Stegostoma tigrinum: one gene and its partners. The protein of the gene in region 2 purifies or fractionates together with the protein of the main gene of each other region. This does not show direct contact. Links are inferred from orthologs where the notes say so. Each region holds a gene or a part of one and is shown on either strand. Other genes may lie near its edges. The genes, in order: gramd1ba, csnk2a2b, prrc2c and osbpl8.

Evidence for each region.
Region 1: the proteins of csnk2a2b (region 2) and gramd1ba purify together in Homo sapiens (affinity purification with mass spectrometry; 3 studies listed by BioGRID and IntAct, with this or other methods). This does not show direct contact. The link is inferred for Stegostoma tigrinum from reciprocal best matches to the Homo sapiens genes CSNK2A2 and GRAMD1B.
Region 3: the proteins of csnk2a2b (region 2) and prrc2c purify together in Homo sapiens (affinity purification with mass spectrometry; 3 studies listed by BioGRID and IntAct, with this or other methods). This does not show direct contact. The link is inferred for Stegostoma tigrinum from reciprocal best matches to the Homo sapiens genes CSNK2A2 and PRRC2C.
Region 4: the proteins of csnk2a2b (region 2) and osbpl8 purify together in Homo sapiens (affinity purification with mass spectrometry; 4 studies listed by BioGRID and IntAct, with this or other methods). This does not show direct contact. The link is inferred for Stegostoma tigrinum from reciprocal best matches to the Homo sapiens genes CSNK2A2 and OSBPL8.

The regions. Positions count from the first base shown.
Region 1 is NC_081385.1:21,887,419-21,895,128, forward strand, and holds the start of gramd1ba (protein Aster-B), read left to right. Parts: upstream 1-4,696; 5' UTR 4,697-4,804; intron 4,805-7,710. UniProt on the Homo sapiens protein: Cholesterol transporter that mediates non-vesicular transport of cholesterol from the plasma membrane (PM) to the endoplasmic reticulum (ER).
Region 2 is NC_081369.1:10,833,293-10,840,782, forward strand, and holds the start of csnk2a2b (casein kinase II subunit alpha'), read right to left. Parts: upstream 3,004-7,490; 5' UTR 2,572-3,003; coding exon 2,468-2,571; intron 1-2,467.
Region 3 is NC_081361.1:32,347,115-32,353,982, reverse strand, and holds the start of prrc2c (protein PRRC2C), read left to right. Parts: upstream 1-3,851; 5' UTR 3,852-4,090; intron 4,091-6,868. UniProt on the Homo sapiens protein: Required for efficient formation of stress granules.
Region 4 is NC_081371.1:62,915,482-62,922,776, forward strand, and holds the start of osbpl8 (oxysterol-binding protein-related protein 8), read left to right. Parts: upstream 1-4,289; 5' UTR 4,290-4,396; exon of another isoform or gene 4,397-4,404; intron 4,405-7,295. UniProt on the Homo sapiens protein: Lipid transporter involved in lipid countertransport between the endoplasmic reticulum and the plasma membrane: specifically exchanges phosphatidylserine with phosphatidylinositol 4-phosphate (PI4P), delivering phosphatidylserine to the plasma membrane in exchange for PI4P, which is degraded by the SAC1/SACM1L phosphatase in the endoplasmic reticulum.

The DNA of each region.
Region 1 (7,710 bases), on a different chromosome or scaffold from region 2:
TGTTATGATGGAAATTGGAGGAGTGCACCGTTTTTCTCTTGTCCCACCACTTTGTTGATATATCCAGTTGTTTGTTTTCTCCTCATTAGTCTTAAAAGGGATCAACTAGGTTGCTTAAATGAGCATAACATTACTAAACAATACTGATTCAATGAAAATGCAAAACTGGTTAATGCACTTAATTTATGACAAAGTAGTTTAAATGTTTACTTCTCTAAATAATTCAAAACACACACGGGGAAAGGGGAAATACTCGATTTTCTATTGTTGAAAATTGCCCTTTAGTTTGGCAATAAATTTTAGTCCTTGAAGGTTTTAAAAAAAAGCATCAGGGTTTGTGCAGCTAGGTATCACCAAACACAGACAGCTGTCTCTGGGATTTTTTGCAGATGTAGCTTGCCGTAGAAACACGGTATCCAGAAGTATTCCAGTCACTCGAAGGATAATCAGGTTTTATACTGGATATGCCAAGCTGAATAAAAGACAAAAATAAAATTAGTCGTTGGTATCATTGGCTTGCTTGAAGATTTCTCTTTGAGGTGATTGCATTGAAAACCCTAAGTCAGAAGTCAGCACCTGCATTGCTTTCTGTCATCAAATAGTTGAATTCTCCTCCCACAAGTGGACTAAGCAGAGCAAATTCTGGGAAGCTGAACAGTTAGTTCTGAGCAGGTCTTCCTGAACTGAAAAAGAAAATTATCTCTTGCCTACAAAACACTGTTCAATGGGAGCTAAATACGCAGCCAGTCAACAAGCTCCCAGTTGGAAATAGAGGGGAGAGGGAACGATTTCTGCGCTGATATCCTTGTTTCACGGACAGCACAGACTACCTATTTCCACTGTGGGGAATCAGAACCTATTGAATTGCATGAGCTCAACGTCAACCACAATGGGAGATATTCAAAATTTGATTAACCCTTAGACAACAGGAAGGGCCCTTATGAAGATATGAAAATTCAAATCTCTTAAGAGACCAGGAAACTAGAAGGACACCACAACCTCTTTGCCTTGGAGAACAATGTCTCATTTGAAATTAGCATCATAGCTGTTTTATTTTGGTGAGACAAGTGGCATGCCACCATTTTGAGCAGAACTCCAGGAAGAATCCTGAGAGATATCATCAAATAGTGCATCAGTAGGGAGACATCAGAAGGTAAACCAGCCACATGGCTGCTGTACTGAATCAGATGATCAAGGCCCAGACACAGGGCCATAAAAGTGAAATAAAGGAAGCTTCACTCCTTCCCAGAATTTGTTCTGCTTAGTCCACTTGTGGGAGGAGAATTCAACTATTTGACTACAGAAAGCAATGCAAGTGCTGACTTCTGACTTGGGGTTTTCAATGCAATCACCTCAAAAAGAGAAATCTTCAAGCAAGCCAATGATACCGAAGATTACTTTTATTTGTGCCTTTTATCCGTACTTACACTTAATATTTGTATTTCTATTTAAGCTAATAACCATTACATTAGAGTTAATAGAATTCATCAACAGTTCAATGATAAAATAACCTTTACCTTGTTTAAAAAATACCCTGAAGTGAGTTCAGGCAAATTATGTTTGCTAGTATATGACACTATGTAATTTCCAAGAAATGTCCTTGCTTAAAAAGGTGTAATGCTTTTCATTAGCCTTTCTGAAAAAAAAAATCCAGGTATGCAAAATCCTTCAGCCTTAAGTCCACAAAATTTGTTTAAGTCATGTTGATGTTTGTGAAGCTCAATGAGTGAAATGTTGTCATTCTCATATTGTCTATGTTCTTATGTATTGAGACGGTCTGTGCAACGAGACTTGGTTGTCTTTGTAGGCCAGTCACCGAAGATAAACTTTCAGGAGGTCAAGAAGACAAATGGTATCTTGGCCTTTGTAGTGAGAGAAATTAAATACAAGAGCAGGGATGTCTTGCAATAATACAGGGCTTTGGTGAAACCACATCTGGAATATTGTGTGCAGTTTTAGTCTGTTTGTTGGAAGAAGGGTATTCTTGCTATAGAGAGAATACAGCCAGTGTTAACCAGATCGATTCCTGGGTTGGCAGGACTGACATATGAGGAGAGGTCGAACCAGTTAGGATTATATTTGCTGGAGTTCACGTGAATGAGGAAATCTCATAGAAACATAAAATTCTAACAGGAAAGGACAGGGTAGTTGCAGGAAGGTTGTTTTCTACTTTGTGATAGACCAGAACCGGAGGCCACAGTCTAAGGATACTAGGAAGGCGCAAAATGGTGAGCCTGTGGAATTGGCTACCACAAAACATGGTCATGGTCAAAACATTGTATGATTTCAAAGAGCTGGGTATCGCACTTGAGAATAAGGTATCAAGGGAATGGCAAAAGCAGGAACAAGCCAGGTAATTGTGTAGTTTTGGTGGTACAGACTCAATGGACTGACGGGCCTCTTCTATACTGTGTGATTCAATGAATCAATAAGATCTCCCCTTCCCCCACCGCATCCCAAAACCAGCCCAGTTCGTCCCTTCCCCCCACTGCACCACACAACCAGCCCTGCTCTTCCCCTCCACCCACTGCATCCCAAAACCAGTCCAACCTGTCTCTGCTTCCTTAACCTGTTCTTCCTCTCACCCATCCCTTCCTCCCACCCCAAGCCGCACCTCCATCTCCAACGTAGTAACCTCATCCCACCTCCTTGACCTGTCTGTCTTCCCTGGACTGACCTATCCCCTCCCTACCTCCCCACCTATACTCTCCTCTCCACCTATCTTGTTTTCTCTTCATCTTCGGTCCGCCTCCCCCTCTCTCCCTATTTATTCCAGAACCCTCACCCCATCCCCCTCTCTGATGAAGGGTCTAGACCCGAAACATCAGCTTTTGTGCTCCTGAGATGCTGCTGGGCCTGCTGTGCTCATCCAGCCTCACATTTTATTATCTAAGATAGAAAGACTGTTATGTTGGATGATTAATCAAGGAGCAAGTTTGAGGGCCGTTGCCTATCCCTGCTCCTATATTCTCTGTTTCTGTGCACCCATATCTGCGCGCAATCACATAGGGTTGAACAGGAATACCACACAGAAAGGGGACATTTGGCCGAAAAAATTTCATGCTGGATTTATGGTCTACTTGGATCTTCTCCCATCATTCCTCATCTATGATTACGGGTTGTAACCCTTCTCTTCCATTCTCCGTCATATGCTTGTCTAATTCCCCTTCATCGTATCCATATTATTCACTTCAAACACTCTTCGCTAGTAGGTTTTCTATTTTATCACTACTCTTTGGGTGAGGAAGTTTCTTGTGAACTCCCTGTTGGATGCAATGATGAAGCACTGATACATGGTTGACGTAGAAATGCAGGAAATACAGAAGCTGATTTGTGTATGACCAATGTATGATGAAAATGAGCAAGCATTCTCTTTGTGATGTTGTTCATCGGCCAGTGTTACATCTAGTTCTCAGGAAGCGTCACTGGACACGAAATGCTAACTCTGTTTTCTCCTTCACAGATGCTGTCAGATTTGCTGAGTTTTTCCAGCAACTTTGTTTTGTTCCTGATTTACAGCATTGCAGTTCTTTTGGTTCTTATTTGGTACATCCAGAGTTCTTGTTTGAAATAATGTTATTTTATTTTCTGTAAACATCTGAAAGGCTTCAAAAACATTGCAGCAAAAACATTCCTGAACTGGAATGCCAGTATCAATCTATATTCTCAAGTGTTAGATTGGTATTTGACCCATAATTTTCTGACTTTTAGGCAACAGTGCTGCCAGCTGAACCACAGCTGACATAGGTGTACTGATATATCAATGAAATATACAATCTGTTGCCTTTCTGTGGATAGATCAGTCAGGAATTAGTGCACTGACGTAATTGAGATGATTCTTAAAACAAAAGGATACAATTTGTATAACAGATTGATCAGAATCATGATATTTACGATTGTGATAGTGTCCTTTTTAAAGATAAACGTGTGGTTTGGAAGACGAGAACTGTTTTTGTGTTTGTTTTATGTCGCCTTTCATCACTGTTGGATTGTTTGTGAAATTAGATTTGAAGTGACAACACACCAGTGCTTACAATGAAATAATTGGGAATATCGAAAACTCACGCTTTTTATTCTGAGTCCGATAAATAAATGGCATGAAAGGGATCTGTGCCACGATTAGTATGCACTGTCCCTTTCCGCTCTAAAAGATAGGTTGATAGATTACATTAAAACTTCTTGCTTACAATGTAGTAGATATTTTCTTTGAAATTCTAGTTACATACTCTTTACCCTGCTTGCTGATAGGCTGACTGTAGTGGTCTGCTGCATTTTGACTCAGACAATGAGAGATGTACTGTATCCAATAGATCAGTTTAGGTTCTGCCTCAGGTCAGGGGTGATTGGTGCATTGCTGCGACTGATCCTAGTTTCTAACCAGTGGTTGGTAAATAATCCGTCAATCATCATCTCCCGCCTCATTCTTACTCAGCTGGATGAGCCAGTGAATGGAGGCAACTACTATATTGGCGGGGTAGGGGAATTTTCTAGTGATCGATTTCAGCTTCCCAAAAAGCATATAATTTTAACTTTATGTTCATGTTTGCCAAACAAACTACCATATTGCCCCTGCAAACACAAGAATGTAGAATTTTGTTATTGAAAAAGTTAAGCCGCTTGTGTTTAATGAGCCAGAGCGTCCACTTTCACCCCTTTCCCCGAAGCCGGTAAATGTTTGCTGTATTTGACAGGAAATCTAAAACGGTAAGAAAAAAAGACAGCTCGAAAGTAGAGGACTGCTGTCCCCACTTCTGAAACATATAGTGTCAAAGCAAGGCTGTTTCACTTTATGCTTCAAGATAAGGTAAGTGAATGGTATAAAGAGTAGAAAAGTTACTGCAGTTTTGAGTACTTGTCGAATGACAGCTTCACGCTGATAAATTGTGTGTTCACGGAAAGTTACTGCACGCAGGAAGAACAGTTATTCGGGGGAATTAAAATGCCTCTTCCCAAGATCGGATATCCTTCCCTACCTCCGTACGGGATGACCCTGATGTTCTGCCTTCCTTCTGCTGCTGTAAATGGCAGATACTGGGCTTAATTTAATCCGCATTGGCTATCATTGTCACAACATCATCTGGAAGTAATCGCTGTTTTAAATTACATAATTTTTTTTGGGGGGGGGTGAGGGAATGCTTAGCAAAATCGTGAGAGAATTTGAAAGCATCGGTATTGTTCAGGTAACATTTAGAGTTCAAGTATCTTCACAACGACGATGTTGGACCCAGCAATATTACCTTTTGGCATGTTTGGTATCATTGTTCCTAACGGTCCTGAACTTTCTCATAAATTTTAATACTCGGATTTAACATGATAGCTGTTTACTAATTACCAGCATTTTGATACAATTACAGTTCCTAGTATAGTCATCTGATAAAGGAGATAAGGAATACACAGACCCTGGAACAGTGTTGGCAGTTTGACTCCCTCACTTCAACCATTTTGATGTTAGGGTAATACAAAGCTTTTGAAAAAAAGCCTGGTAATGACAAATGCTTGTCACTAGGCCCTAATGAGAATGATTCAGATTTCACTTTTATGGTTTATGGAGTTATCAGACCACCTTAATTAAAATATTGCAATTAAGGGTAGTGCTGAGATATTAAGTTCTGTCTTTCAATACTACAATGTATAAAAGTTAGTTATGTGGAGTCTGTGTTATGAACTTGAAAATTTAAAATGATTGACACACAAAGATTACCTATCATAACAGATTTTTAAAAATAATTACTAATTTGGGACTCACATCTTGTGGGCATTCTATTAGGATAGGAAATTTAGAATTTAAAAATCGGAAACAGATGGCTAATGTTTTGTTAAGTTCAAACTACAAAAGGCAAAAGAATAAAATCTGCAATGAGATATAAAAATAAACTGATGTTGCTTTTCTTTAATTGTTCATTAAGATACCAGGGAAAATCTTTGTGAATAAATTTGAGGTAAGTACACCTATTTCTTGCAGCAGTGGGCCATGACAAAATGGAGACTAGGGACCAAGATTAATCAAATTGTGACCACTTCTCAGCTCCCAGAATATCTTCCATTTGTAATTTGCATCACATATAAATTAGTATATTGCCACTGAGGAAAATCAATATATCGTCGCGTCGTTTTCATTATATTGATTTTCTTCAGATCATGTTTCATCAGTGGTATAGAGAACAATGTCTTGTGTTTTCTGTCTTTGTCTGTAAAATTTTTAAAAACTGTTATCTTCAGAACATTTTACATAATAAGAAAAATCTAGTTTTGTTTTCATAAAGTTTAGGGATGTCAGTTGAAGAAAGCAACATTTTTCGCAATTTGCATCCACAATCCAGCTTAGGTTGTCCAGATCGTGGATAGTGAGGGATTAATGCAGAATGAATTATTGCTACGCCACCCTAGTATAAGATTTAACCTAACCAAAGGAAACTATCATAAATGTAATTGCATGCCATTTTAGATTCTCTCTCAATTCATTCTTGCCCCTACTGAGTCAATAGATTAGACTTCAGTGCCAGTTATGGTCACACCAAATATTGGGCACTTTTATGCAATGGCCATTATAGAGGAGGCCTTCATCCTACCAGCCTAAGCTGCACTGAAATCCAGGTTTTAAGGGAACCCTGGGAGTGTTTACCAGACAGTTCCCAATCATAGCAAATTTTATCAAGATTTCCACCTATTTACTCTTCTAACTTTGTATAGCCTTCAACTGACCTTGCTAGATTTTGCTTTTAAAAAAAATGTCAGTGAGAGCATCTTAAATTTCTGTTTGTTAAGATTTATCCCAAGGATTATATATTGTGCAATTATTTGCTTTGTCAAGGGATCTGTAGGTACAAATTGCTCAATATTGTTCTGATGATGGTAAATACAGGAGTGATTCTCATTTACATGTTTTGTCTGGACTGATGCAGCTGAATTGAGTAAAATGGAACAAGGAAGCAGACTGTAGGGAAAGGTCCCTGTTAACATTTGGGTTTTTGCACTCAAGTGGCTTGATGTTTTCTTGAAGCAGATCGTGTCTTTTATGAACTGAAATCTGGGCTTAAGCATTCTATTATTTTAATTTATATGAAGTTTACAAGCAGAAACAGAACATTTATTGAACCCACCAAGTTAATGTTCATGCTCCATACAAGCCTACTTGACTCAAACCAATTTAAATAGGGCCAATTGCCCATGATTTTTGTTAAATTAACTGTCTTGTGTAGTATTTTCCATTTCCACCATACACTGAACTGCAAAAACAATTCATTGTGTGGTGAAAAATACTACGCAATGAAATTAACCATGCAGTTTAGGCCAGTGATGGGAAATACTATGAAGTAAAAGATACCACATTTTAAGATAAATGCAAAACTATCAATGGGCTGTGGGGAGTTTTTGGTAGTCTTTCACTGCATATTGGCAATCTCTTAGAGTTATAGAGCCACAAAGCACAGAACTGGACACTTTGGTCCAACCAGTCCATGCCAAACAAAATCCCAAACTAAATTAGCCCCACCTGCCTGCTCCTGGCCTATATCCTCTAAATCTTTCATACTTCTGTGCTTATCTAAATGTCCTTTCAACACTGTGATTGTACTCACACCCACCACTCTCTCAGGAAATTCACTCCACATGAGAAGCAGCCTCTGTGTAAAAGAGTTTCCCCTCATGCCTTTTTTGTCTCTTTCCTCTCATCTTAAAAATATGCCCCATTGTCTTGAAACCCCCCATCCT
Region 2 (7,490 bases):
GTTCAGAAATAACAAGGTGTTAAGGGATGAAGAGCCAACGTAAGTCAGGATCAACATTTGCTACAGGTTAAGGTGGGAGGACGAAAACAGTTCTGTTTTATGGGGAATGGAGTGCCAGGCAATGAGGAGTGGAGCACTAAGTCAGTCATGACTAAGGCGTAATTAGGTGTACATAATTTTTTTTGAGGTGTAAGTCAATAGTCTTTGGGAGCAACAATAAAGAATCTGCTCGTCAGCTCGTGACAAATCTGGAAATCAAAGTTGCACTGGAAATGTTATGGAGTTAGAGGGGAGGACACAGTACTTTTGTTGAAAGCCTGAGGTGGTATTTTAGGTTTCCCAAGTGTTTAACTGGAAAACACCAACTAGACTGGATGAGAAAGCAACACAACACATTGCGGGAAAAGCTCAGCTGCAGTCTTAGTGCATGGAACTTCATTCTATGTTTTTTTTTGTTATCTGCTTAACAGTAATTGCTCTTTACATTTTACAAGATTTTCTCAATTTTCTTTCCCATCACCCATCCCACCATTTACTAAGAGTCTTGATTCCCTTCTCTCGTCAAAGCATTTTAAACAAGTCCTCAGTCAAATATTCAATTTTCAAATATTCTCACTTTAGTTTTGGCAACTTTCAGTAAGAACATTATATTAAAATATTTATGGATCCTCAGTAGTTATTTGCACAGTCGAGAAACTCTATGTATCTACCAATACAAATCAATTCTGAAGTTGCTATGTCAAGTTAATATCTGTATATCACAACATAAATTGATGCCAGAGAATTTGGATGAGAAACTATTTTGCATACACACAGTTACTGGGCCAAGGTGCATCATGTTCCAAAGGCACATAAATAGTAGCGAAGGCTATTGAGAACCAAGCTGAGCTTCATTGAAATTGGATGCAACCTTTTGACCACCTAAGAATCACCAATCTCTGATTCACCTCTGGAAATGTGTCTGGGTCTTGGGCTTAAAGCATGGGTGAAACAAATCTCAACAATAAACTCCTCACTAGACATCCCCAAACACTGGATACTTTTGGATTGTACCACTAGACCGCATTCAACCCTCATTCGAACGAGCGTTTTAACCGAGCCTTTAACTGTCAACATTATGGCAAGTGAAACCATGACAAGAACAGTCTATTTCAGTAAACGTTCAACACTAAAAGCAAACCTTCAACACAAAAAAACTGTTAATGGGAAATAAATGTTATCAGGCATTGGTGACTTGTTTTTTTGCTATGTATAGCAGATACCTATCACCAGAAAGTAATCATTCGCCATGTTAAACCTCCAAACACACTATCTTTCAGAAACACACTCAGTTGTTTCGACTTACAGAACATGGAGGGTACAGCTTTTCAAAGTTAGGATGTGTCATATTTACTGCAGGCCAAGTATTTAGGCAGAAATTAACAAGACGACAAATATAAAACATCTTAATAGGACTCCTGTGGCTCAGCCTCCCCACCTCTGAACCAGAAGACCCATGTTGAAATTCTACCTACTCCAGAGGTGTATCATAGTACAATTGAACAGGTTTATAAAAACATTAAAAACACTTTAACCACCTAGGCACATGCAAGCTTTCTGCTGCTTATCACATTATTAGCTCCTATGTTAAATAGACACCATGAAAAGATGGAGAGATAACAAGGTGTACGGCTGAATGAACACAGATTGCCAAGCAGAGGAGCAGGAAAGCTGATGTCTTCAGAAAAGGGTCAAGGCCCAAAACATCAGCTTTCCTGCTCCTCTGATGTTGCTTGACCTGCTGTGTTCATCCAGCTCTACACCTTGTTATCTCAGATTCTTCAGCATCTGCAGTTCCTGCCATCTCTAACCATGAAAAGGTTCTTAGTCCCAGTGACAGATCTAATCTCCAATACCTCAATGAACTAAATTAGCAGTAAAACAGGCAACAATATTAAGTTTACCATTTAGGAAAATTTCATGAAATGAAATAGTCTTCCAAATTTCTCAGACAAGAGTTTGAAACCTAAATAGTGAACTTTTAGGCTCAGGATATGACTTAAAGTCATTAGCAACTGAACTAATTTTCATTTCCACACCATTAATGACTGCAAAAGCTAGTGCTGATTGATACGGACTTTGAGGTGGGGCAGGTTATTGACACAGGACTGGAAAAAAAATCATACCATGACAGAACATGTTTTCACAGCATTTCTTGGGTAATTAACAATTAGACGTATTAGGTATAACCAAGTCAATTACAGTCCATTTTTATACGAATTAGACGTTTCCATATTCTATACACGCCTTTAAACATCCGCCAGACATATACACAAGGTTTCCACACATCAAGACTTTACTATTTTTCTGGTATATACATTTTCATTAATCCACGCAACAAGCATCTATATATTCCCGCCTACAGGCAGATGTCTATGCATTCAAGTCATATTTTAACCTCACTGCTACAACATACTGTGTTTCTTACCCCCATTCAGGAACGTGTGACTCGTAATCCCAGTACTCGCGGGGTTTCAGGCTGTTTACTTCGGCATACACGCGGGCCCTGCTCCCGGTAGCCGGACCCGGCATGGCAGAGCCAGGGCTCAGCTCTGGGATAAGGGGACGAAATCCCCAAGAGGGGGCAGCGGGGGGGACACAGAAGCCGCACCGCCACGGGGCAGACTGACAGTCGGGAGCCAGGCCCGGCCTCAACCCACGCAGCACCACCCGGGATAACTTCAGTAGCAGGGTTCGTGGAGCCAGCGGGAACTCCCCCGGGGCGCGGGGGGTCGATTAGAAAGGCCCAGTGCGGATCCCGAAAAAGATGGGTACGGTCGGGGCAACAGCAACGAGCTTATGAGAAACCTTACGGAGGATCAAACAGCAGAGCAGAACAGACCGAAGTCAACAAAACCGAACCGGACTTCCCTGAGGGAGGCCCGCAGCGGAAGAAAATATTCCGCCGGGTGCGGACCCAACCCTGAGAAACCGGTCACAAGCTCGCTCTATCAGCGAGAAGACACCGAGGGCCACAGGATGACGAGCGCCGGCAGCAGCGGCTCCTAGCGGCACCCAGCTGAAGCTGAGCGATGCCGGCTGCACACTCCAGCGGCAGCGACCCCTCGCGGCACCCCACTGAAGCTGAGCGACGCCGGCTGTCCGCTCCAGCGACTGCGGCACCTGGCGCTGTTTAATGAGACATGACCCACACGCTTACCACAGGCTCTAATGCCTTACAGAATAATACACGGGTAGCGGCACAAAGGGATTAAGGAATTAAGACAGAAAAATCCCCACAAACTGTAACACCCGCCAATATTAGGTTTTCATAGATTATATGGAGACGTTGCTGAAACTTGTGTGAATCATTGGTACCGATAGAAATAAAACTGGAGTCACGTTCCTTCTGCATTTCTTCTTTTGTGATAATAATGTTCAAGTTGTAATACTGTGCCATGCATATGCGGTGCTGCGTATTCCTAGATGAAATAACTTGCAAGTTAAATTAACAATTATAAACTAAATATATATCATATATACAGTAAGTTGCATTCCCTCTGACTTTTTCCGTCTGCTGTGTGGACCTGTAAAGTCTACGCAAGGCATCAGCTTCCTGAACAGAAGGGTCTAGGCCCGAAACATCAGCTTTCCTGCTCCTCTGATGCTGCTTGGCCTACTGTGTTTATCCAACTCTACATCTTGTTGTCTCGCATTTACCCACCAACTGGCATTTCACCCTATAAGCGGTTTCATGTTTTGACATTAGGGACGTTGACTGTAGGTGCATAAAGACCATGAGGCATTTTAAAATATTAAGTTGAAATGGTGCATATTCTTAAGTGCCTACCTACGCAAATAAAATAACCTTAAAGCAACATACATTTTGACAGCAGAAAAATCCAGTTTAAGTACGACTCTTCTGATGCTGCCTAGCCTGACTCTAGCTCCACACTGGGCTGTCTCCGACTCCCGGCATCTGCAGTTCTTGCTCTCTCTACTATAGCACTACCTTCACCTGAGGAAGTTTCTATTGGCCAAGCTCCATCTAGTGGCATAGACTTGTCAATGCAATTGGAACGAGCCGTACTTAACAACTTCTGCTGCTATGGTAGAGCCCACGACTTCAGCATAAGTTCACAGTAGGAGCTAAACAGCAAGGGGAGACACATCACCTCACATTTACCAGAGCTAACTAAACTCCTTCTGCTTTCGATCTGTCCATCTGACCAATCCATTAAATTTTCCTATAACCCAAAATCGTTCTTCACAGACAACCATCCGGCCAATCTCTGCATCAAACTTACCTATCATTCCCTCCACATTCTCATCTACATCATTTATATAAATCATGACCAATAAGCGCCACAGCATTCATTCCTATGGTGCCCGACTGGACACCAACCTCCAATCACATAAACTTTTGACAACAACCTCTCCTACTACTAAACCAAATTTGTATCCAAGTTGCCAATCTACCCTGAATTCCATGTGGTTTTATCTTTGTATTATTCTGCTGTTAACATGTGTTTCTCCCATGGGGGATCTTTGCTGAAATCCAGACAAACTATATCAATTCTACTGCACACATCTGCACACTTCATCACCTCAAAAAATTCAACCAGATTTGTTAGAATCCCTCTGACAACACTTTGCAGTCTAACCCTGATGAATCCTTGCAACTCTAAATGGAGATTGATTCTCTCCTTCACGACCTTCTGCAATAGTTTCCAGGCCACTGATTTGAGACTCGCTGGTCTATAATTTCCTGATTTATCCTTTCCACTTGTAAAGTGGAACCACATTAGCTGTCCTTCAGTCCTCTCGCACCCCTCCTTTGGCTAGAGAAGAATTAAAAATTTGGGTTAGGGTCTATGATTTCCTCCCTTGTCTCCCAAGGCAGCCTCATATCGCTGTTCCTTTACTGTCATTGGGTCAAAATCCTGGAAGTCCCTCCCTACAGTAATGGACTGCAGCAGTTTGAGAATGCAGCTCACCGCCACATTCTCAAGGGCAACTAGGGACAGGTAATAAATGCTGGTCAAACAGCAATGCCCATGTGCAATGAATGAGAAAAGAATCCTACTAAAGAGTTTCTAATACTTTTAATGCTGCAATGTCTTACTTAGCCGAATCTTTCCAGTTGTGATTGATAAGGGACTTATTTCTAGCTCTATTAGCATAAACCACTTCTCAATTCCGATAGCGTGAAAAATTCCACACAACTCTAAGTTTGAAAACTTCACAAACTGAAATATCGCTGCTGGTTTGAAACTGCCCTACTGAACTGAAACCTGATTGTGAACTGAATTCAAAAAAAGCTAACGGTCCTGTACTGTTTCCTCTGTATGTGATAAAAATTCCACTTGGGAAGCATTCAATAAATTAACACCCTGGCTACCCTGACAGGCACTTACTAAGTCATCTGCTTTCTTATAAATCATGTATTTACTTCAATGTCACAAATTATTTTCTGATCTCTTTCAAAAAATTACCTTCACAGCACTGAAACCAAAATCTATATTACCTCTAATTTAAAAAGAAAAATTTCCAAAATACAAAAATATATTGTACACATTATCAGAAAACAATTGTTGAAATTTATTCAAGTAAACACCTATCAAATTATTTGTTAAAATACAGATTCAAAGATTTAAAGTAAGTGAGGATGAATGTCACAAATGAAGATGAAATTGATATCAGTGTCTACTATGAAGCAGGCCTGGCTTGCTTGAAGATTCTCTTTCTGACCTGAAGGGTTTGAAAACTTGGGTGCAATGTAGTCAAACAGCTGCCACAGTAAACTAAGCAGAAGTGTTTTGGAAGTGAGCGCAGGCTCCTTACTTTCATTTTTACAGCAGTACCTGTTCTGACTATCGGTAGTCTGGTTCAGTGCAGCAAATCTGGAAACTTTCTTCTGTCTCCTGCTTGAAAAGCAGTTACTGCTTTAAAACGTTTCTCACATTTTTAAAACAAACATTTTGTGGAACAAAGCCAGCATTTTCTGCCCATCTCTAATTGCCCTTGAACTGAATGAATTGGGAGGCTCACTTCAGTGGGCAGTTAAGAGACAACCACATTGCTGTAGCTGAGGAGACATATTTAGAGCCAGCTTTCCCAAAAGACAAGTGAACCAACTGTGCTTCTGCAACATCATTGAAACTGGTTTCAATTCCATTATAAATTGAATTTAAATTCCACCACTTGCTGAGGTGGGATTCAAACCCCTGACCAAAGATCAGTAACCTGGGTCTTTAATAACTAGTGTAGAAATGTTAACCCCTTCTCCTCTTCTGCATGAAATGGTTGTTCACAATCAGACTTCTATACAGTTCAAAACTTAAAATAGCTGCTATCCCAAAACTGTTGAATTTTGTCTCTGTATTGAATTATCTTAGGCACAAACCCATTCATTATATTTTAGTTAGGTATTTTTTCTTAACTGCTTTAGCCATTTGCTTGGATGGTTCTTATTCTGTAGTCTTTTGGAGAGATAAGCACAGCTATTCACAACTTCAGGGAAACCACTGCCAAAGACTTTCTAGTTACTGTTGGAAATATCTGCTGGGCTTCAAAATGTCTGGTCAATTTCTTCTTGACATAAGTACTGTATAGTATGGTCTGGTCTCAACACCACTGAGTTCACAAAGGCGGTCACGTCACTTCTGAGAACCATCTTGTAAGATTCTTTGCATGTATTTTAAAGTTCGATTAATTTTCTTTGTAAAATATGTAACATTGTAACAACACAAATATTACAAACCTTTTTAAAATTTTTATTGGCATACTGGGTCAGACTGATTTTGAAGCGGCAAATGGTGGGTCAGAGTGGAACAGATCTTGAGAAGCATTTCTTTACAATACATAAAGCACACATTTTAATTTCATGTAAATATTAAGGTGTGAGCCCTGGTGCAGTGGTCACACTTCCGACCGACTCACAAGTTTATGGATTCAAATCCTGCTTCTGGAATCAGAGCCTTCAGCACCTCTCAGGTGACTGTAAAAGTGCCATGGCATTATTCAAAGAAATAAAACGCAGAGTTCTCTCAGTCCTGGCAAACCCTGAACCATCAAGTAACAGCCAGAACAGATGATCTGGTCATTTCGTTGCTCCATAAAAAAATGACTCCCACTTTTCATAATTACATCATTGACCACATAAATGTGTTTCCTTGCCTGTAAATTACTCAATGTCTAGAGTCTGTGAAAGATGTTACATTAATGCAAGTTTTACTTAATTTATTTTAATTCCCACTTATTTTGTTCAAAAATCACTGCAATGAGTTTTTCAATTAAATTTGTCATCCTTCTTAACTGAGTTACATTTTGTCCTTTAGTTGGTTCCATTAATGTTTTGGCAAACATCTGTAGCTTGGGTTGTAGATGAGGTTGTTGACTTGCTCACTGAGCTGGTTTGTTCTCTTTCATACGTTTTGTCACCATGCTAGGTGACATCATAGTGGAGCACTGATACACTGATGATGTCGCCTAGCATGGTGACAAAACGT
Region 3 (6,868 bases), on a different chromosome or scaffold from region 2:
AACATTTTTCAGGATGTCACTATTTCCTCATGTTATCTAGCTTCCATATCCTTCACCACAGCAAACACTGACGCAAAATACTCATTTAGTATCTCACCCATCTCCTGTGGTTCCACATACTGGTGGCTTTCATGATCTTTAAGATGCGCTATTCTCTCTCTAATTACTCTTTTGGCCTTAACGTAATTGTAGAATCTCTTTGGATTCTCCTTAACCTTATTTGCCACACTATCTTATGTCCCCTTTTTGTCCTCTTGATTTCCCTCTTAAGGATACTTGTACTGCATTTATACTCTTCTAGAGAATCACTCGATTTCCACTGTCTATACCTGATATAAGCTTCCTTCTTATTCTTGAGCAAAACCTCAATTTCTGTCGTCATCCAGCATTCCCTACACCTACCAGCCTTGCCTTTCACCCTACCAGGAACATACTGTCTCTGGACTCTCATTATCTCATTTTTGAAGGCTTCCCATTTTCCACCAGTCCCTTTACCTGCGAACATCTACCCCCAATCAACTTTTGAAAGTTCTTGTCCAATACCATCAAAATTGGCCTTCCTCCAATCACTATTTTAAAGCCAATAGAGTTATGGTCATTGGTCACAAAGTACTCCCCATCTAACACTTCAGTCAACTGTCTTGCCTTATTTCCCAACAGTAGGGCAAGTTTTTCACCTTCTCTTGTATGTATATCTACATTCTGAATAAGAACATTTTCTTGTACAGACTTAACAAACTCATTTCCATTCAAGCCCTTAACACTATGGCAATCCCAGTTTATGTTTGGAAAGTTAAAATCCCCTACAATAATCAACTTTTATTCTTACAGATAATTGAGATTTCCTTACAAATTTGTTTCTCAATTTCACACTGACTATTGGGTGGTCTTTAGTACAATCCCAATAAGGTGATCATCCCTTTTTTATTTCTGAGTTCTTCCCAAATAGCCTCCCTGGATGTATTCCCAGGAATATCCTCCCTAAATACAGCCATTATGGATCCCACTCTTGCCCACCTTTCAATCCTTCCTCTAGCATCTATATCCTGGACCATTAAGTTGCCAGTCCTGTCCATCCCTGAGCTACGTCTCTGTAATTGCTATGATATCCCAGTCCTATGATCTGAGATCATCTGCCTTACCTGTTGCTTTGAAATAAATGCAATTTAATACAGCAGTCATACCTCAATTTCTACTTTGTTCCTGTCTGCCTTGTCTGTTTGACTATTCTTTTCCCCAACTGTATCAGTCTCAGGCTAATCACATTTCTGACTATCTGCTTGGGTCACCGCTGCCCTCCTCCCCAACTCCCTTTCCACACCCAACACCCCACTCCCTTCACTAGTTTAAATCCTCCCAAGGAGCTCTACCTAATCTCCCAACAGTATATTAGTCGTCTTCAAATTCAGATGCAACCTGTCCTTACTATACAGATCACTTCTACCCCGAAGAGATTCCAATTATCCAAAAATGTGAATCCTTCTCCCCTGCACCAGCTCTCAGCCACCATTCATCTGTTTAATCCTCTTATTCCTACCCTCACTAGCTTGAGGCACTGGGACAAATCCAGATATTACCGCCCTTAAGGACCAGCTTTTAAATTCCTGCCTAACTTCCTGCATTCTCTCCTCAGAATCTCATCCTTTTCACTTCCTACATCGTTAATTCCAATGTGTACAACGACCTCCTAGTGGTCCTTCTCCCTTTTGAGAATATTCTGCACTCTCTCTGACATATCTTTGATCTTGGCTCCAGGGAGGGAACACACCATTTTGATGTCTCACTGTCAGCCGCAGAATAGTTTGTCTGTGCCTCTAATTGGAGAGCCCCCTATCACAATCGATTGCATGGAACCTGGCATAGCCCTTGTTACATTAGAGGCAGTCCCAGTACCAGAAACTTGGCTGTCAGTGCTGCATTCCCTTGAGTGTCCATCACACCCTACATTTTCCAAAACAGCATAGTTGTTTGAGATGGAAATAGCCACAGGTGACTCCTATACTACCTGCCTCCCTCTCGTACCTTTCCTGGAGGTCACCCATCTACCTAAGTGTACCTTTGATTTATCTCCCTCCCTGCACCTGCCATCCAACACACCCCTAGCTCTTGGAAATTCCTCATTGCCTCTAACTGCTGCTCCAACCAATCCATTAGAACCAAACACACTTCCTGCAGACGTAATCATTAGTAACATGGAAACTCTCCCTAACGTCCCAACAGGAGGAGCACATCACTTTACTGAAGGCCATTTTTGCATTGTAACAATCTACGGATCCAGAAAAGAGCACAGACTTACTGCTCTAGAAATACTGTTCCAGGTTAGCTTAGTACCTATGTTTTTATACTTTAAAAGTTTAATCAAGAGACATTTCTCAATAACACATATAACTAATAAACATTACTCTACCCACTATTGTAGATTTACAAAACCAGTAAGGTTACACTTTAAAAAGCCACTTAGCTGCTCCCCTGCTGTGAGCTCCCACACACAAGCTGAAGCGTCCTTTGGAATTCAGAAGGGTCAGAGGTGACTTAGCTAAAACACGTAAGACTGGATGGACATTCAAAGGATGTTTGCTCTTGGGGGAGAATCTAGTGCTTGGGGTCACAGTTTAAAAATAAGAGGGCGCACATTTAAAACAGAGATGAGGAAACACCTTTTTCTTCAAGGGTTGTGTGATTTGGAATTCCCTTCCTCAAAAGGCAATGGATGCAGAATCTTTAAATATCTTTAAGGAGGAAGTAATTTGATTTTCAATTATCAAGGCGATGAAAGATTATTGGAGATATGCAGGAATGTACAGCTAAGATTAAGATCAGATCAGCTATGATCTTATTGAATGGCAGAGCAGTATCCTAGTCCGAATGATCCACTCTCCTTCCGTGTTCATGTTTGTATGTAATTTCAATGGAAGATTTCCAAACTGAAAGGTTAACTCTCTCAAAAGATTCTGCACTGACCTGCTGACCATTTCTGTCATTTTCTGTTATTTCAGATTTCTGGCCTCTGCACTTTTTTTCCTTTGAATATTGGACCTTGCTTTTAAAAAGAGTCTAAACAATAAAGATCATGTAAAAGTGGTAGTCCAATTGCAAACCAATCAGCCCTCTCAGCGTTTACGTTGCTTCTTCATTTTTTGAACTTGATCAGTTGCGTGCAAGGCACAGTGTGATTAACAAAGTTCTTCAGCAACATTTAATAAAGAAAATGATCAAAGCAAAATATTTTTTCAGAGATAGCAGTAACTGCAGATACTGGAGAATCTGAGAATAACAAGGTGTCGAGCTGGATGAACACAGCAAGCGAAACAGCATCATAGGAGCAGGAAAGCTGACGTTTCGGGCCTAGACCCTTCACACCTTGTTATCTCAAAGCAAAACATTGTAACTTTCTGCGGAAAGAGACAACGACTGAAAGAAAGAGAGAGAAAATCATTCCTTGTTGGATCTGCATTTGAAACTTCCTCCATCACTGTTGCAAGGACAGGAACAAGAGTGTGATGACGTCATCAGGAGGCCTGCAGTTTGGCATCATCGACTCGGCGTGTTGACGTTTAATTCCGATTGGGAATCGGGTAATTTCCATCCCAACCCATTGTTAAGACCGACGCACAGCGCGCTGACGTTAGAGACCGTCGGGCTGGGGATGCGACGCACGACGCGAATCGCTTCCCCACCCGGCATCGTCAAACTGACGCGCAGCGCGCTGACGTTTGTGCACACCAGCATCTGTAGGGGCGGACGTGATTGGGGGGGGAGGGGGAACGGCGCAGTGACGTCATACGCCCAACCCCCGGGGAGTTCCGACGTACAGCGCGCTGACGTTTCTGCACTGGTCTCTGGCAGGCCGCCATCTTTGCGAGTCGCCGCAGCGGCCGATGTGAAGGAGCGCTTTGTCAGGAGGGGAGGGGGGCTGACTGAGTGACAGCTTCTTCATCGCCAAATCCGGCCCTTCTCAGCACCGGCCTAAGCCACATCCGGCTTCTTCGCCGTCACATTTTTTTTCACGCAGCGCTCTGCCTGTGGGCAAAGGAGAAGAGACAAGAGAGGGACCGATCACCAAAGCGGGACGACCCAGGGTGCGCCGAGTGTAAGTAGGCGAGTGTTTTAGGAAGATGGGGGATGGTGGAAGGTGCCGGGCGCTAGGCCTGATAGCCAGCTCTTTGCCTCCCCACGGCGATCTCTTACCCTATCCGCACTGCACTGCACTCTTTCTCTCCCCCCCCACCCCCCCGCCTTGTTCGCCGTGTTGTTTCCCCCGGGGCTGTGCTTTACCGGCGGCGAGGGTGCGGGCGGAAGAGAAGGCCCGGCGGCTGCCGCACTGCAGCTTTGTGTCTCCAGGCCTGCTTTGTCCCAGCCCCGTCGGCCGCTTCGTTCCGACTCCACGCCGAGGCCTGTTTCGCTTTCCGCGGGGACCCCATGCCTTTGTTCCCGACGTGTCTGTTTTCTTCTGCGCGTTCGTTTTTTTTTCCACCCAGCTTCCCGCAAAAACATCTGGGCTGGTAAATCCGAAGGGGGCATTTCAGATTACATAATCTGCGAGGTGAAAGCAGGGAGAAGGATTTCCTTTCTTCCTTTCTGTTTCGTTCCTTTTCCTACACTACCTACCTGCCAACCCCCCCCCCCCCACCAAACAAGACTGCAGCAATGCAGCAGAGTTTGGAATTGATTTTAATAATGAGTTTTATAATCCGTATCTCGATGAGAGACTTCGGTTGCTATTTAGCGAACCTCTCAGTTTTATCGTTCTCGTCCATTTGAGGATGCCTTTGTCCCTGAGGAAAGGTATAATTACGGAAGAGGAAGCGTGATTATGTTGGGCCTTCTCAGAAGGATGCAGCGTGCATATATATGGTTGTTAATTTTAGTACGCGTTGGATGAGCAAGTTGTGCTTTATAACCGCATGAGTAAGCGGATATGGCTTCCTTTTTCAAAACAAAACCGGGGTGGGGGGGGCATAGTCGGTCTTGATATTCGGTTTCGCATCGATGGTTGCTATTAATTTTTCCAGTGACCACTGTTTTAAGATATTGCATAACATGATTGTGCTGTACTTCACAGTAATTACCAATGTCTTCCAATCAAAGGGAAAGTACAAAAATATATTTGTGTGAGTGGGCATATAAACATTTTAGATCATTAGTTTATGTTGAAAACAAAAGCCCATCTTTGAATTTTTGGTGCTTTGACAGCCCTGAAAAATCACCAAAAAATCTAGCCTTCAGAACTTTAGTTTGTATTGCTTCATATTTTTATCACCACAATGGATATGATTGTTATCCGATTTAAGAAGGGTTCATTCTTTAGTCGAATGTCTGTATCTATTTTTTTGGAAGAAATGTTGGTTTCTGTATACTCCTGGGCTAATCACAGGGAGGACAGCTCAGGATTTCCTTCTGATTTCTGCTCATTAACTACTGTTGAAAATTATGTAACTGAGCATCGGATGAGTAGAGAATTGGACACCATTGTGGTGTTTTCTTGGTTGAGTGGCTTCACTGTCTAGGGGCACAATTGAAGCAATTCATTGCATCACGTCTTTTAAAGGCTCTGTTATGGAGCTATCAATGGTAATTCCATTTTTAAGTTCCTTGCCAACGGTGTTTAGTATCTACTGACAGTTTAATTTCTTCTTTTTAAATCATTGTTTCAGTATCTGCTTGTCTGGTAAAACCTTGTGTCCTAACAGTTACCCCTGGAGAAAATCATAACCTCAGCCTCTCTCTTCTAGAACAAATCTGGAATGATGGAATCTTGTGCTGACTGAAGAAATGTTATGATTTTAAACACTTAGATAGGATAATGCTAAAGGATGTACCTGTACAGTTCTTTGCAAGAATTATCTCTTGCTGTTCCCAGGCAGCCCTGCAAACATTTTCCTTTTTTGAGTCTTTATATGATTCTCTTTTAAAAGCTGTGTAACTTCAGTTAGATGTTTTTGCCCATACCTCCTGCAAACACAACTTAAATTTCCTTAGGTACTTGTGGCACACCCAATCTAAACATCGTTTCCAGAATAAGTTGCTGAAAACCACAGCCTGGCCAATGTATTTGTTATCATTCTCTTGCCTTCGATATTGAATACACAAATCTGAAATCTCTTTTGTCTTTATTTACTTTCTATCTGCAAACTTGTTTTAAAGATCATGTGTACCCATTTATCATCTTTTACTCAGTTTCAATGATGATCCTTTTCCCATTAATTAGTACTTTTTGTCATCTCTCCATGCTGTCCATCTGTCATGCCTATAAATTTATATGGAGGGCAGCCTGACACGGCCGTCAGGGGTGATGACATTGGCTTCATTTTCCCAGTTACAGAAATATTCATTTAACTTTGCCCAGAACTATCCCTCAAACAACGCTAATGCTTTACCCTTCTGCCTTTGATACCCTTGCACGACTGTAGGAATCATAGTCTTCAGAACCAACAGCACGTAGGTTCAGTGATAGTAGAAACTGCTGATGCTGGAGTCTGAGATAACCAGGTGTTGAGCTGGGTGAACACAGCAGGCCACGCAGCATCAGAGGAGCAGGAAAGCTGATGTTTCGGGTCTGGATCCTTCCTCCTGAAGAAGGGTCCAGACCCAAAACGTCAGCTTTCTTGCCCTTCTAATGCTGCCTGGCCTGCTGTGTTGATCAGGTCTACACCTTGTTGTAGATAGGGTGATTAGTTTACAATGACAGTGGGATCAAGCTTTGTTTTTGATTGGAGAGGTTGCAGTGGATTTTCAGGGGTGAGAGACAGAATTTTAGAGAACACCATTAACGTGTACTTGGGAGGAGGGAAAGCTGTGTGATCAGTTTAGTGAGAATAGGTTGAAAGCAACGAGAGGCTGGTTACTGATGTGAGCTCAGGCAGGTAAG
Region 4 (7,295 bases), on a different chromosome or scaffold from region 2:
TGGAGGAAGGTGTAGGTGGTCTGATTAGCAAGTTTGCTGATGATACAAAGATTGGTGGAGTAGCTGATAGTGAAGGGGACTGTCAGAGATTGCAGCAGAATGCAGATAGATTGGAGAGTTGGGCAGATAAATGGCAGATGGAGTTCAATCCAGACAAATGCGAGGTGATGCATTTTGCAAGATCTAATTCAAGAATGAACTATACAGTAAAAGGACAAGTCCTGGGGAAAATTGACGTACAGAGAGATCTGGGCGCTCAGGTCCATTGTTCCCTGAAGGTGGCAACGCAGGTCAATAGAGTGGTCAAGAAGGCATACGGCATGCTTTCATTCATCAGACGGAGTATTGAGAACAAGAGTTGGCAGGTCATGTTACAGTTGTATAGGACTTTGGTTTGGCCACATTTAGAGTACTGCGTACAGTTCTGGTTGCCATATTAACAAAAGGATGTGGATGCTTTGGAGAGGGTGCAGAGGAGGTTCACCAGGATGTTGCCTGCTATGGAGGGTGCTAGCTATGAAGAGAGGTTGAGGAGATTAGGATTATTTTCATTAGAAAGACAGAGATTGAGGGGGTCCTGATTGAGGTCTACAAAATCATGAGGGGTACAGACAAGGTGGATAGCAAGAAGCTTTTTCCCAGAGTCGGGGACGCAGTTACTAGGGGTCATGAGTTCAAAGTGAGAGGAGGAAAGTTTAAGGGAGATATGCGTGGAGAGTTCTTTACTCAGAGGTGTTGGGTGCCTGGAACGCGTTGCCAGCGCAGGTGGTAGACGCAGACACGATAATGTCCTTTAAGATGTATCTAGACAGGTACATGGATGGGCAGGGAGCAGAGGGATACAGACTCTTAAAAAATAGATGACAGGTTTAGACAGAGGATCTGGATCGGCGCAGGCTTGAGAGCCGAAGGGCCTGTTCCTGTGCTGTAATTTTCTTTGTTCTTCGACAAGATCCCACGTGGGAGACTGAAAAAAAGATGAAAACTCATAGGATCCAGGGTAACGAGGCTGAGCGTCAGAAGACAGATGTTGAAAGAAAGCTGATTGTGTGACTGGAGGCTTGTGTGTGGTGGAATACCACTGGGATTAGTGCTGGGTCCCTTAAAGTATATATAGATAAATACATGATATAGAAGGAAATGTGTGGAGATGGTTGATAAGTGCGTTTGCAGTTGACAGGAAGATTGGCCGGGTAGCTAACAATGAGGAGGTGGTCTTTCCAGGAAGATGGCCAGAGGGGGCCAATCAATGGTAGATCGAATATAACCTCAAAAATTGTGAGGTGATGCACTATGGAAGAAGTAACAACACGGGAACACTCCATGAATGGCAGGACACTCAGAAACCCAGAGGAACAAAGTGATCTCTTGCAGATCCCTGATGTTGGCAGGACAGGTTAATAGGGGAGTTAAAAATACATAAGGTACATTTGCCTTTGTCAATTGTGGCATAGATTATCACAGCAAGGAGCTTATGTTGAAGCTATACAGGACTTTGGTTAGGTCACAGCTGGAATACTGCGTGCAGTTCTGGTCACCTCACAATCGGAAGGATGAGACTGCATTGGAGGGGGTGCAAAGGCGATTCACCAGGATGTTGCCTGGGATGGAGCATTACAGCGATGAGGAGAATCTGGATAAGCTCAGGTTGTTTTCTTTAATGTCTTCAAGAGATGGTTAAATGTAGCACTTGGGACAAATGGGAACAAAGGTTAAGGAGAGAAAGCAGGATTAGGCTATTGTGTTGGACAATCAACCATGGTTGCGATGAATGGCAGAGCAGGCTCAAAGGGCCGAATGGCCTCCTCCTGCTCCTCTATGTTTCTTTGGAGCAGAGAAGCTGAGAGGGGACCTGACAGGGGTGTAGAAGATTAAAAGGGGCATGGACAGGATGAATAGAAAACAACTGTTCCTGTGGGTTGAAGAGTCAACAACAAAGCAGCATAATTTTAAAGTAAAAGACAAGAGAATTCAGAAGGGATTTGAACAAAAACTTTTTTTCATCCAGAGGATGGTGGGAATCTGGAACTCACTAGCCGTAAGAGTGGTTGAGGCAGAAACCCTCATTGCATTTAGGAAGTGTTAAGGTGTACACTTGCAATGTCAAAGTTTTTCTTTCTTTATTCATTCATGGGATGAGGGTGTTGCTGGCTTGGCAGCATTTATTGCCCATCCCTAGTTTCCCAGGGGGCAGCTGAAAGTCAACCACATTGCAAGGTGCACGTGATACTGGGCAAATTGCTGGAAAATGGGATTGGAAAAAGTGGTTCAGAGATAATGGGAACTGCAGATGCTGGAGAATCCGAGACAACAAAGTGTTGGAGCTGGATGAACACAGCAGGCCAAGCAGCACCTTAGGGGCAGGAAAGCTTGGAGGTGCCCAGGGAGTCCGCAACATTGTCGCCGGACCCCATGAAGTGTCAAGTTTCAAGGAAGTCTTCTGCCGATTACTATGTACTGTCCTCCCTCCGCTGATGAACCAGTGATCTTCCGTTTGAGCAACACCTGGGAGGAAGTACTGAGAGTGGTAAAGGCACTAAAATTGCAGGTGCGGGATATCAATGTCCACCATCTAGATTGGCAACAGTTCTACTTACTGTGCTGGTGGTGTCCCAAAGGATATAGCTGCTCAGCTGGATCTGTCGCAGGTGTTGAAGGAACCAGCACAAGGGAAAATCCAACTTGACCTGATCCTTGCCAATCTGCTGGCTGAAGATGCATTTGTCCAAAGACATTACAAGTAAGAGTGACCATAGAATAGGCCTTGTGGAGATGAAGTCTTGTCTTCATATTGAGAATTCTCTCCAGCATGTTGTGTGGTACTATCACCACACGAAATGGGACAAGCTTCAAACAGATCTAGCAACTGAAGACTGGGCAGCCATGAAGTGGTGTGGATCATCAACAGCATCAGAACTGTACTCACAATCTGAAACCTCATGGCATGGCATATTCCCTAAACAACCATTAACATCAATCCAGAGAATCAACCCTGGTTCAACGGAGACTGCAGGAGGATATGCCAGGAGCAGCACCAGGCATACCTGAAGTATACCTGAAGTATTAGATGACATGTCCATCATGGGCCTCCTGCACTGCCACAATGATGCCACCGAAGGTTGCAGGAACAGCAACTCATATTCCGCCTGGGAACCCTGCAGCCATATGGTATCAATGTGGACTTCACCAGTTTCAAAATCTCCCCTTCCCCAACTGCATCCCTAAACCAGCCCAGTTCGTCCCCTCCCCCCACAGCACCACACAACCAGCCCAGCTCCTCCACTCCACCCACTGCATCCCAAAACCAGTCCAACCTGTCTCCGCCTCCCTAACCTGTTCTTCCTCTCACCCATCCCTTCCTCCCACCCCAAGCCGCACCCCCATCTACCTACTAACCTCATCCCACCTCCTTGACCTGTCCATCTTCCCTGGACTGACCTATCCCCTCCCTACCTCCCCACCTATACTCTCTCCACCTATCTTCTTTTCTCTCCATCTTCGGTCCGCCTCCCCCTCTCTCCCTATTTATTCCAGTTCCCTCACCCCATCCCCCTCTCTGATGAAGTGTCTAGGACCGAAACGTCAGCTTTTGTGCTCCTGAGATGCAGCTTGGCCTGCTGTGTTCATCCAGGCTCGCATTTTGTTGTCTTGGATTCTCCAGCATCTGCAGTTCCCATTATCTCTGATACCTGAAGTATCAACCTGGTAAAGCCATATTGGATTTGAAACACTTCCAATGTAATTTTTTGTTTTATCCTCTGTGACTGCCTTTTTGGTGTCTATCAAGACCAGTATTTGAGGGAATGACACCAGCAGACCGCAACCTCATCCTGACCCCCAAACAGAAGACCGTAAGATCGCAGAGTAGGCCATTTGGCCCATTGAGTCTGTTGTGCTAAACAATCATGACTAATAGGTTTGTCAATTCCATTCTCCTGCCTTGTCCCCGCAATCCTCAATCCCCACACCCTGACATTCTCACCCGACCCGAAAGTCTGCCCCACCCTCACGCCCACCTTCACTCTGTCCCTTTCTCGTCTCCCTCATCTCCGTCTCTCATATATTGTTTTTGACATAATTATTTCTCATGCACCCTCAAACCTCGGATGTCTTTCCCAAACATGTTTCAACAAAATACTAAAGTTAACTCCTTCTGGGGGCGGGAGCTCAAGTGCAACGAAAGCGTGCCTGGGAGGACCATGTCAGGATGGGAAGACCAGGCTGCGTGGATCAAGCTGGGGCAGCGCTTGGGACCAGGCTGCTCAATGGATCGTGAGTGAATGATCTGGAATGGGCGGGGTGCGAGATCAGGCGAAACAAGTAGCTGAAGGAGCAACAGAGCAGAGCTCGAGCCGGATCGGAGCGGCCATGGAGTGAGTGAGAAGTGGACGAGGAGGTGAGAAGGTGAGGAGTTGGAGATAGGAGATAGGGGAGAGAGAGAGATATAGATAGATAGATAGATAGGTAGATAGATAGAGACGGCCGGGCGGGTGAAGAGGGGTACTTATCGACTTAGTGAGGGTCCGGGCCGGGTTTCGAGATCGCAGACAGGGGCACCCAGCCCCCGTCGACACCCCCGGAATTCGGGCCGTTAGTCCCTCCTCCCACCCCCCACCCCCCACCCCCCCGTCCATTGCCCCCCCCACCCCCCACCCCCCACCCCCCCGTCCATTGCCCCCCACACCCCACACCCCCGTCCATTGCCCCCCACACCCACCCACCCGCCCGCCCTCTCCCATTGCCCCCCACACCCACCCACCCGCCCCCCCCTCTCCCATTGCCCCCCACACCCACCCACCCGCCCCCCCCTCTCCCATTGCCCCCCACCCCCCCCTCTCCCATTGCCCCCCACCCCCCACCCCCCCGTCCATTGCCCCCCACACCCCCGTCCATTGCCCCCCACACCCCACACCCCCGTCCATTGCCCCCCACACCCACCCACCCGCCCGCCCTCTCCCATTGCCCCCCACACCCACCCACCCGCCCCCCCCTCTCCCATTGCCCCCCACACCCACCCACCCGCCCCCCCCTCTCCCATTGCCCCCCACACCCACCCACCCGCCCCCCCTCTCCCATTGCCCCCCACACCCACCCGCCCCCCCCTCTCCCATTGCCCCCCACACCCACCCACCCGCCCCCCCTCTCCCATTGCCCCCCACACCCACCCACCCGCCCCCCCTCTCCCATTGCCCCCCACACCCACCCGCCCCCCCCTCTCCCATTGCGCCCCACCCCCATTGCGCCCCACCCCCATTGCGCCCCACGCCCGCCCCCCCTTTTGCGCCCCACGCCCGCCCCGCCCCCCCATTGCGCCCCACGCCCGCCCGCCCCGCCCCCCCATTGCGCCCCACGCCCTCACGCCCGCCCCCCCCATTGCGCCTCACGCCCGCCCGCCCCCCCCATTGCGACCCACGCCCGCCCCCCCCATTGTGCCCCACGCCCGCCCGCCCGCCCCCCCATTGCGCCCCACGCCCGCCCGCCCGCCCCCCCATTGCGCCCCACGCCCGCCCGCCCGCCCCCCCCCCCCATTGCGCCCCACGCCCGCCCGCCCGCCCCCCCCATTGCGCCCCACGCCTGCCCGCCCCCCCCCCATTGCGCCCCACGCCTGCCCGCCCCCCCCATTGCGCCCCACGCCTGCCCCCCCATTGCGCCCCACGCCCACCCGCCCCCCCGCCCCCCCGCCCCCCCATTGCGCCCCACGCCCGCCCGCCCTCCCGCCCCCCCATTGCGCCCCACGCCCACCCGCCCGCCCCCCGATTGCGCCCCACGCCCGCGCGCCCCCCCCTTTGCGCCCCCCCCTTTGCGCCCCCCCCTTTGCGCCCGCCCCCCCATTGCGCGCCCCCCCATTGCGCGCCCCCCCATTGCGCGCCCCCCCCATTGCGCGCCCCCCCCATTGCGCGCCCCCCCCATTGCGCGCCCCCCCCCATTGCGCGCCCCCCCCCATTGCGCCCCCCCCATTGCGCCCCCCCCCCATTGCGCGCCCCCCCCATTGCACCGCCCCCCCATTGCGCCCCCCACCCCATTGCGCCCCACTCCCATTGCGCCCCACGCCCGCCCGCCCCTCTCCCATTGCTCCCCACGCCTGCCCGCCCGCCCCTCTCCCATTGCGCCCCACGCCCGCCCCTCTCCCATTGCGCCCCACGCCCGCCCGCCCGCCCCTCTCCCATTGCGCCCCACGCCCGCCCGCCCGCCCCTCTCCCATTGCGCCCCACGCCCGCCCCTCTCCCATTGCGCCCCACGCCCGCCCGCCCCTCTCCCATTGCGCCCCACGCCCGCCCGCCCGCCCCTCTCCCATTGCGCCCCACGCCCACCCCTCTCCCATTGCGCCCCACGCCCGCCCGCCCGCCCCTCTCCCATTGCGCCCCACGCCCGCCCGCCCCTCTCCCATTGCGCCCCACGCCCGCCCGCCCCTCTCCCATTGCGCCCCACGCCCGCCCGCCCGCCCCTCTCCCATTGCGCCCCACGCCCGCCCGCCCGCCCCTCTCCCATTGCGCCCCACGCCCGCCCGCCCGCCCCTCTCCCATTGCGCCCCACGCCCGCCCGCCCGCCCCTCTCCCATTGCGCCCCACGCCCGCCCGCCCGCCCCCTCTCCCATTGCGCCCCACGCCCGCCCGCCCGCCCCTCTCCCATTGCGCCCCACGCCCGCCCGCCCGCCCCTCTCCCATTGCGCCCCACGCCCGCCCGCCCGCCCCTCTCCCATTGCGCCCCACGCCCGCCCGCCCCTCTCCCATTGCGCCCCACGCCCGCCCGCCCCTCTCCCATTGCGCCCCACGCCCGCCCCTCTCCCATTGCGCCCCACGCCCGCCCCTCTCCCATTGCGCCCCACGCCCGCCCCTCTCCCATTGCGCCCCACGCCCGCCCCTCTCCCATTGCGCCCCACGCCCGCCCCTCTCCCATTGCGCCCCACGCCCGCCCCTCTCCCATTGCGCCCCACGCCCGCCCCTCTCCCATTGCGCCCCACGCCCGCCCCTCTCCCATTGCGCCCCACGCCCGCCCCTCTCCCATTGCGCCCCACGCCCGCCCCTCTCCCATTGCGCCCCACGCCCGCCCCTCTCCCATTGCGCCCCACGCCCGCCCCTCTCCCATTGCGCCCCACGCCCGCCCGCCCCTCTCCCATTGCGCCCCACGCCCGCCCGCCCGCCCCTCTCCCATTGCGCCCCACGCCCGCCCGCCCGCCCCTCTCCCATTGCGCCCCACGCCCGCCCCTCTCCCATTGCGCCCCACGCCCGCCCCTCTCCCATTGCGCCCCACGCCCGCCCCTCTCCCATTGCGCCCCACGCCCGCCCCTCTCCCAT